Linked DNA regions of Saccharomyces cerevisiae S288C. The gene in region 1 interacts genetically with each later gene. Each region holds a gene or a part of one and is shown on either strand. Other genes may lie near its edges.

Evidence for each region.
Region 2: mutations in MTC3 (region 1) and GSF2 together harm fitness more than expected from each alone (negative genetic interaction), as found in Saccharomyces cerevisiae (one large-scale study listed by BioGRID).

Annotation. Positions count from the first base shown.
Region 1 is NC_001139.9:70,321-75,495, reverse strand, and holds MTC3 (Mtc3p), read right to left. Parts: upstream 2,157-5,175; coding exon 1,785-2,156; downstream 1-1,784. Other genes in the region: OST5 (dolichyl-diphosphooligosaccharide--protein glycotransferase subunit), read left to right, coding at 2,338-2,358, 2,508-2,747; glucose-induced degradation complex subunit VID30, read right to left, coding at 2,949-5,175. UniProt on the Saccharomyces cerevisiae protein: May be involved in telomere capping.
Region 2 is NC_001145.3:175,567-180,137, reverse strand, and holds GSF2 (Gsf2p), read right to left. Parts: upstream 1,713-4,571; coding exon 501-1,712; downstream 1-500. Other genes in the region: pheromone-regulated K(+) transporter PRM6, read left to right, coding at 1-121; U2 snRNP complex subunit RSE1, read left to right, coding at 1,833-4,571. UniProt on the Saccharomyces cerevisiae protein: May be involved in the secretion of hexose transporters from the endoplasmic reticulum. Involved in secretion of GAL2 and HXT1.

The DNA of each region.
Region 1 (5,175 bases):
TCTCTCTCTCTCTCTCTCTCTAAGTCGCATGTTAAGGCCGATAGTACTGGTTTAACAGGGTTTGCCAAGGCCTCAATCGTTAAGTTAGCTTCTCCACTTTCCCCAGCATCAATCTTATGGTATGATCAACAATCTACGAGGAATTGCAGAAATGATACCTGTATCACAAAGGAATTTGCGTATCATAGCGTCAACTGGAACCATGGATGGAGCTGAGAATTTATTCCTCATAAACGAATTCAAGTTTCTTTCGCTCTGCCAACACAAAAATTTCAATTTCTGTCCTACTTATGTCCTATGAGAGCCATAATTTACACCTCACGTACATAGTTGCGGTAATATGATAAGTACACTTTTTCTGTGCTTCATTATCGTAGCGATAGGTATACCACTCATCGTAAGTGTGGACGTAGCGATGGAGGTTTCTGTGCCATTACCACCACAACCATTCTACTCTTGTAGTGATGCCGCCAACGTGGAATTATGTGGTATCGTTGTTATCTGCCGTTGACTACCCTCGGTCCAACCAACGTAAAGGCCAATCTCACTTTCTAAGAAGGTCTTATCAGGGTTGATACGGACAAACTCTTCATAGCCTACGTCGAAATCAAATTCTGCTGAAGCTGTGATTGTAATCAAACCTAAAATGGTAATTACTGCTCGAAAAAAAAGTAGAGAAATTCATGGTTGACGCTCAAGTTCAGGGATCTGAGAAAATCTTTTATTCGTACGTCCCATGTGCTCGGTCATACTATGGCTGCTATATATACAACATGGTTGTGGAGAATTTACGCAGGATGTGCCTACTACCTTGGGAGCTACTAATGTCGTATATTTCAAGTGTCTGCATGAAGACTGCATTATAGTCCCTTCAGAGTTTTCTTTGATCGTTTACAATGATCATGGTGAAAGGATTATTTCTGTTATAGCTGGCACACGACAGTCACCTATATGGTAGTTACTAACTAAATATTGCTCAAAGTCAATTCCCAACAATGGGAAGCATGCTGCGATTTTAACAAAGAAGCAGCAGTACCCAGATACGGAACTGGATTAGACAGAGGAGGAAAATCATAAGGTACACAAAATTTTTTGGGCTTTAATTTCTCAAAATGTTTGCCGGTAAACCTGTACATTCTTTTTTCACCATCAGTCTATCTTGTAATTAAGTCTTTCATGTAGTATTGAATCTGCAATATTTTTTAACCAACTATCAATTTTCGTGTCAACAAATTACTCTTTACCATGTAGACAGCTACTGATTCAGGCGCACATGAAGACCTATTCGCTTATTTAACAAATATTAGCGTATTTTTTGAGACTATTAACGTGTGTAGACCTCCAGAGGCTGCACTCTAAAAGCCCCCAGGGATATGTCTATACTGTCCTTTGAGAGTTATACGTATGAAAAATAGTAAGGAGACGTCTCTAAGCGTATTTAGAATATACGCTAAGAGTGACTAATGTAGGTAAGTGCGCAGTAATGGCTGGTAAACTTTTTTTTATACTAGTGCCATGTTGTACTGAACTTCAATTTTACAACTAAACTATGAAGCAAGTATCTTATCTTGGGGTTGTATATTTCAATTAAGTGGTTTCGTGGTCTAGTCGGTTATGGCATCTGCTTAACACGCAGAACGTCCCCAGTTCGATCCTGGGCGAAATCATTATTTTTTTGAATTTTTATATTAGTTTATTTACAGGGATAGATAATGAATGATAAAAAATGAATAGAACGTACTCTGCGCAAGCGCATATATATATATACTATTGTTGCTTCCAATTTATACAAGATCCCTTAATTGTTCCTCTAGCTTTTTATCTTGTTTCCAATTATAAAATGCAGTCGCTGCACCGCCAAATAAAACAAGGTTGAACACTATCCGCATTCCCGTGTACCCTACGTTCCATTCGTTGCCCTTGGATCTGCCACCACAGGGTCCATAAGATAAGAAATACGCTGCTTTGGTCTCCTCCAGCGGTATATGTCTCCAATCTTCTTGCATCCTCCATCGTAAGTATTCCTTGATTTCATCCCTAACTTCAGGTCGTAGAGTGGGCCATAACTTCGTTATATTCGTAATCTCTACTACCGGTGGCTGATAAGTGCTGAAAGATCTTTTCAGTGCTAGCCGAATACCGTTTCGTCCCATCATCTTCTGCCTTATTTCTACCTATGTTGAAATGATATCTTTTGGGTGGTCTTCTCTTTTCTTTGACGCGAAATTTGAAATTGCAAATACTTTTCGAAGAAGGATGCAAGTACACATAAAACGTATACTGTAAATAGGCAAAACATAAGCAGTGAGAGATATCCCTGCATATTCAAGGTTTACAATGACTTATGAACAATTATACGTACGTTGCCTGTAACGCTGGTTGATGCTATTCTTTTGATGTTTTTAACAACACACAGGACAATGAATAGTTCCCTTCCTGTTTTCTAATTCATAATTACTAACAAGTATAGCCAATTCGCCTTCTCGGCATTTGTGTAATCACTTAAGAAAGAGTTCCATTCCTCAAAGAGCTTCCAGCCATTTATCCACTTAGACACTCAACCAAAATTTGCAATTTGTGGTTTAATCGTTACATTAGCTGTATTATCATCTGCCCTGTTCGCCGTCGGTTCTAAATCTTCATACATTAAGAAACTCTTCTTCTACACAATTTTAAGTGTAATTGGCAGCTTGTTTGCTGGCTTGACCACTGTTTTTGCTTCGAATTCTTTCGGTGTCTACGTCTAGTGGCTCTTCGTTGGCCTATAAAGGAATTATCGATGAAATTATATACTATACTTAAGAAGTATTTTGGATGAGAATATTAAAAAGAAAGGTGTCAAGTAAATTTCATTATATAAACGGTTTAAGACATATTAATATGCGATTTTTGGGAAGATAATGACTGATATCACATGGCTTTGTTGTTTGAAGGTGCTTGTTTTATGCTCATAAATTCAACACATCTTCGTCGAAGTTAATAGCTTTGTAATATCTTGGATCTGAAGAGTTGGTTGAACCGAACGCGTTATACTCAAGTAATGTAGAAAGCATAGCTCTAGTGTTTGATATTACATTCTCTAATGCGCATTCGCTATCCTTATGTAAAAATGTTAGTATTGTGTTGTTACTAACTTGAAATAATCTCTCTTGTAAGTATTCGTCACTCAAATATCCTGATATCTCCTTTGGTGCCTCCACAAGTGGATTGGAATATGCTAACAATGCAGAGACATTACTCAATTGTCCACTAAACCTATCCCTCAAAGATTGTGGAATTTTAGTATCGTAGATAAATTCATTAGATAATTCTTGACCCTTCAAAATTAAATTTTCAATTTCGTCATCATCTTTGGATGAACTCTTTTTAATCATCACCAGATAATTCGCTAGTTTTAACTCAAATACCAATTCTAGATTATTTTTTAACAGATCTGGAATTTCGTTATCGATATAATTGATGCATTTGCTAATTTGACCTTTGTTTATCAAGTATCTTAATTCTTGCCTTATCTTTACCATACGTTCTTCTTTCATGATCTGTCTTTCATTGTGCCTGATAACATCTTTACTTTCAGAATGTTGCCCATTGACATTAACCGCATCTTTTTGCAAATCTTTCAAAAACCCCTTTGCAACATCCACCAATCCTTCGTGGATCAAATAATCATTTATCATCACGTTTAATGTATTAGGCAATGAACCGTCATCCACGCTTAAGTTGTTAATATTGTTCACGTCTGGTCTAACTAGCTTTCCATCTATAAACCTATTATCTTCTCCCAAAAGAAACTTCAGATTGTTGTCCTTCTCATCGTTAAGCTTCTTTGTATCCTTATTACCAGCGGCACCATCCTCTTGATCAATATCCATCAAATCTTCATTAACGTTTGTTGATTTATTTTCTTCAGGCCCATTTTCAGTTTCATCTTCCTCACTTTCATCAGAGTCGAATTCTTCAATTGAAACGTCCATTTGGCGTCCACGACAAATATGCTCATACGCCAAACTCTTCCATTTATCTTGATATCCAATAATGTCAAATACAAAATCCTCATTTAACCCAAAATTTGTTTTGATAGAATTCCCAGGTCGTAAGGCCACATATGGGACGAATTCTAGATCATTCAAGTCGGTGAATGCGTTACCTAAATGGATACCATTCTTCGTGAAAAAAATTGAGCCATCGATAAAATTTATGCCACAACCAATAACGTCATCCCTACCAAAAGGCTTAGCATATTCCTTAGATTGTTCTGTAGAATTAGTTATCAAACCGTCAAATCCGCAATAGCCAAATACATTAAGATCAAATCCGTATTTCTGACACTTATTTATGGAACCATCCACGTTAAGAGACATGGCTGAAACGCCCCCTTCATAAATATAATCACGCCTTTGAGTACCTTCCATAGTGAAAGAAGTAGAAGGTACTCTATTGGAACTCATGTTATTACTACCACCTAAGCTACTACTAGAACCGGCCACGCTTGAACGAGAAACACTCTTTTTTGTAGTCGCTTCCATTAATTCATTCTCTACTAACTTGTATCCGATAACAATGTTACTATTTTCAGCACTCTCTGTACTCGTTACACTGAGAACTTTAATCTCGTAATAGAATATAGTTAACTTATTGTCTGGCAATGACTTATTTGCCCAAGTGACTGCAAAGTCCACTTTCCCAGAGTTCTCAAAAGAGGTTCTCAGTCTATTTCTGGTAGAGGCAGAAGAAGCGCTTGATCTTTCATAAGTCATGTATGAGTGATAATCAGGATTAGGTTGTAAATGAGTAATACCATCTTGAGATAGCTGCAAGCTGTTATTTGGTTGAGCTTGCCATCTAGAAGGTAAAAAGTACCCAAGTATTTTGTAAATATCAGGGATCATTGAGTTTTTCTTTTTGCTACCACTGTTGGACAAAACATTTGTTGCCTCATTGTCATTTTTGTCGTTACCAGACGATACTCTAGGAGAAGAAAAGGAAGAACTTGGAGACTGATCAGGGGGGTAGTATTGTAGACCACTGTTCTTGTCAGATGTATCCCACAAATTCCTTGATTCTGTTTCTATATTAATAGCTGATCTAGATCTTTGATATATCCATGGGTCCGCAACCCTTTCGGCACGCTGCTGTGCACTGGACACATCAGCATCAGCTCCTCTACTTCCTTCT
Region 2 (4,571 bases), on another chromosome or scaffold:
TTATGGCGACGAAAGCACAATACCGAGTTACTACTGCTACTCGGATGTAGAAACGTACGAAAGAGTATATACGCCCATAAAGGCATATTTCCCCCAGAAATACAAACATAAATACATATAAATGTAAACGAAGCTTTTTTTGACTGCAAAAATGCATTAAAAGTAAATCGATTCTCATTTATTGTATATATATTGTATATATTGTATGAAATATTTATAATGATAATGATAGTAACAAAAACCATTGATGGCTATAAACAATGAAACAAAAAAAAGCACTACGAAAACAGTAGATTCGTGAGGAATTGAAAAAAAGAGTGAAAAAACTAATAAAAACAACGAGAGTAAATAGGATAGTACAAAAATACTAGGAGTAAAAAAAGGCCCTCTAGTAGTAGTAATAGTAATAGTAATAGTAGTAGTACTAGTAGTAGTAGTAGTAGTTAAAGGCTATGGTTGAATAAAAAAAAAGTCTGGATGGTAGTGTTTTGGTTTTACAATTAATTAGATTTTTTCAAATCATTCTTTTTTATACCAAAAGTAGCATCATTGTTTGATGCTTTCTCTTTCTCATCAGCAATTTCTCTTCTGAGCTTAACTAGCGAGGCCAGTTTTTCATCTGGTTCATAAATACCAAACCTTCTAAACCTCCTAATTTCAGCATTCATCTTACCAATATCCCCGTCATACTCTTCCAAGATCTTCTTTAGATTGTTTTCCAGCTCCACAAAGTATTCTTCACTTAAAATGAATTTCCGTTCGGTTTTAATAGCCGTGAAAGTGGAAGCAGTGAACCTATCTTCTAGAGGACTTTGGAAACCCTCTCCAGCCACAAGTTGGATACCTGGTGCTGCAGCTTTCCTAATCGCGCCCGCTCTATAAGCAGCAACTGCACCACCCATCTTATCTATGACATAGTTGTAATAGTTAGTCTGGTAATCGTCGTAAGTAGCTCTCTTAGCACCAATCCAGCCCAGAGAGCGCAAACGTGTCTTTAAGTCAGTAGTGTTGTTATTGCCGCCAGAATTCTTAGCGCCGTTAGCAGAAGGAGAAGTTAAATCTCTCAAACTCCATAACTTGTAAGGATTGAAGCTGATGGGGTTGGCAATGCCTAATTTGAGGAATAAAGTAATTATGCCCACTTTGAAAATGTGCATGACAAAGAAAAGCCATTGAGCTACGAGACTAGAATAGTTTGCCTGAACTTCTTGTTCGAGTTTAGCGGCAATTTCAGGTAAATCCATGTGCTTGGCTACAGGAATCAATAGTCTAGACAATTGATTAGTCAAACAAATACCTGGGGTTGGAGAAATGGCGTCGGGCAAATCGGTATATAGCCAGGCCAACATAATAATGGTGTATACCCATATGTTTTTCTTGGATAGCTTCCACTCCGGAACAACTAGCTGACCAGGCCACAACTGGTCAATAAGCGGCTTGGAGTCATTCAACTCCTCGAGATTTTCTTCGTTATCAGCTTCATAATGGAACATCAAACAACCACCTTCGGACAGGTACCCTGGATGGATAGACTTATAGAACTTTACGGGCTCCTTCTCATGGAAAATTGATGGTCTCAGCACCATTAAGTCCGCCAAACCCGTCTTGGAAGGGAAAATCTTCTTAATTTTGTTATTTATGGTGTCTTCATTTGACACCTGAAACGCATAGTCGTGCTCGACATCTGCGTTAAGTCTAATGTAAATCTCCATGCTTGCAATCGCCCTCTATCAAAACAAAGTCCACCGATCTCTGCTGCCCCTCTCTAAAAAGGAAAACAATGGCACCATTAGCTTCTTTTCTCGCTTTTTTATAATATTTTCCATCATTAAATGTGGGGAGGTGGCAAAATGGCAGTAGTAAGCTTGTCGCCCCACACGGCGAAGATGCGTAAACTATTTGGGCAAGCTAGCACAACGATGGCTTATGACGGTTTAAAACGAGAGGCTGAAAGAAGAACAAGGAGTGACCATAACATAACAATGGTTGCTAAAGATGATGAGCTATACTTGTACCATCTTACTTTAAAGAAACAGACGAATTTCGTGCACTCCTGCATCGGACACTTCGTCGATCTGGAAGCAGGGTCCAAGCGTGAGCAGTCGCAATTGTGCGTAGCTACTGAGACGCATTTAGAACTTTATGATACTGCAGATGGGGAACTAAAGCTTATTGCCAAGTTTCAAAACCTGTTTGCGACGATAACCTCGATGAAGTCGCTGGATCTGCCGCATTCAGGGTCAAGGGCAAAAGCTTCCAACTGGCCCACTTTTCTAGCGCTAACTTCCGATTCTGGTAACCTAAGTATCGTGCAAATCATTATGCATGCAGGTGCTCTTAGACTTAAGACTTTAGTGAACCAGCCATTGACGAGGACCACCCTTCGAAGAGTCTCTCCCATATCATACATGGAAATTGACCCTAATGGGCGTTGTATCATTCTCTCATCTGTCGAACAAAATAAATTGTGTTTCCTCGTTGATTATGCTCAAAAATTGAGGATTTCGTCTCCATTGGAAATCATCAGACCCCATATGGTAACGCTGGATATGGCAGTTGTTGATGTAAATTTCAATAATCCATGTTTTGTTACCTTAGAAATCGACAATGCCGCTACTCAACTATCAGTACACTTGATATTTTATGTCCTCGAGTTGGGTTTGAATCACATCGTCAAGAAGGCAGATTATTTAGTTAACCCATCTGCCAATTTCGTACTGAGTTTGCCAGATCTATCGCGATATAATATAACAACTTCGCTAAGCGACAACAACTATGATGCTGACTATGATACCCTTTTCAACCCTTTTGTTGTCATAGGCTTCGAAAATCATATTCTGGTAAAGGATATGAACGGATTTTTCAGCCTGAAAGTGGAAATACCCAAAAGATCTATCACAAATAGCCGTCATAAAAATGTAACAATCATATCAGGCATAGTGCAGAAATTGAAAAATGATTTTTTCGTACTTTTACAATCTAACCATGGCGATCTTTTTAAGTTAACTGTAAGTCCAGACACTAATGATAGAAATAGACCTTTAGTTCAATTGTCCTACTTTGATACAATCCAAAATTCACACCAATTACACATTTTCAAAAACGGTTATCTTTTTGCACTATCTGAAATGAATAACAACTTTCTTTTCCAGTTTGAGAAACTTGGTGTAGAGAAAAATGATTTTTCTAATGTTTTAACCTCAAAAGATCCAAATAAGTCGCTAGTTTTCGAACCATCCATAAAGTTGCAGAATTTGAGCATATTATCGCAACAATTGAATTTGAACCCTTCAATAAAATCTCAAATTGTCAGTGATTCGCCACTGTCTATCGCCACTAAACATTTTACAAACAACAAGATAATAACTTTAACAAATGCTGTGAATTACTCTAATTTGATATCTACTAGTTTACCCCCGAACGCAACCAAGTTATGGCTAATACCCGATCCTGCAACAACCGGCGATAACAATACTCTTTTGTTCATAACTTTTCCCAAGAAAACTATGATACTACAAATTGACAACGAGTCCATGGAGGAACTAACACCGGATGAAGCAACGCGTTCAGCTTTCAAGCTCTCTCAGGACACAACAATTCATACATGCCTAATGGGCTCACACTCTATTATCCAAGTATGCACCGCAGAACTAAGACATATCGTACCGACTGGTAAATCTAGGTATTCTAATAAGCTGACTTGGGTGCCACCAGCGGGAATTCGTATTGTATGTGCCACGTCCTCGAAAACACAACTAATTATATCATTATCAAATTACGAATTGGTTTATTTCAAGATAGATGTATCTTCGGATTCGTTAATCGAATTAACCACCCACCCAGAATTGGACACAATGCCCTCTAAAGTTGCGATTGTGCAAGATACGCAGCATGCTGATTTATTAGCCATTGCTGACAATGAGGGTATGATCAAAATAATGTCTCTTAAAGACCAAAAGGAAGATTTTTTAACTGTAATAAGTTTGCAATTAGTTAGTGAAAAGATTTCTGACATGATAATGGTTAGAGATTCCTCAATAGGACAGCTTAATTTGCATGTAGGTTTAGAAAATGGCGTTTACATGAAATTTCATATAGGGGATGTTGACGGATCGTTCACTGACATAAAAAGGCGATTCCTTGGCTTGAAGCCTGTTTCCCTTTCGTATTTGCGTGAGATATCTGTATCACTAAATAATGAGGAAGAAGAAGAAGAAGAAGAAGACGATGATGATGAAAAAGAAGAAGAAGAAATAAATAGTAGTGGAGCTAAATGGATGTCATGCGTGGTTTGCCATTCCTCTTCTACATGGGTAAGCTACACGTGGAAAAATGTGTGGACCATACGGCAGTTAAAGGATCAAAACATGCTAAGTTGTTCCAAATTTGTTAACGCAGATGTTGCAATCAACGGTGTTTGTTCAATATCGAGCTCAGGACGCTTAAATATTGGCAGAGTTTCCAACTTTCCAACTTTGGATAACTGGTTTCACGTTCATGAATCAAGTGTTAACAAGCAAGAGAACGGTGGAGGAGATGAAAGCAATGAAGAGGAAGAAGATGAAATGGAA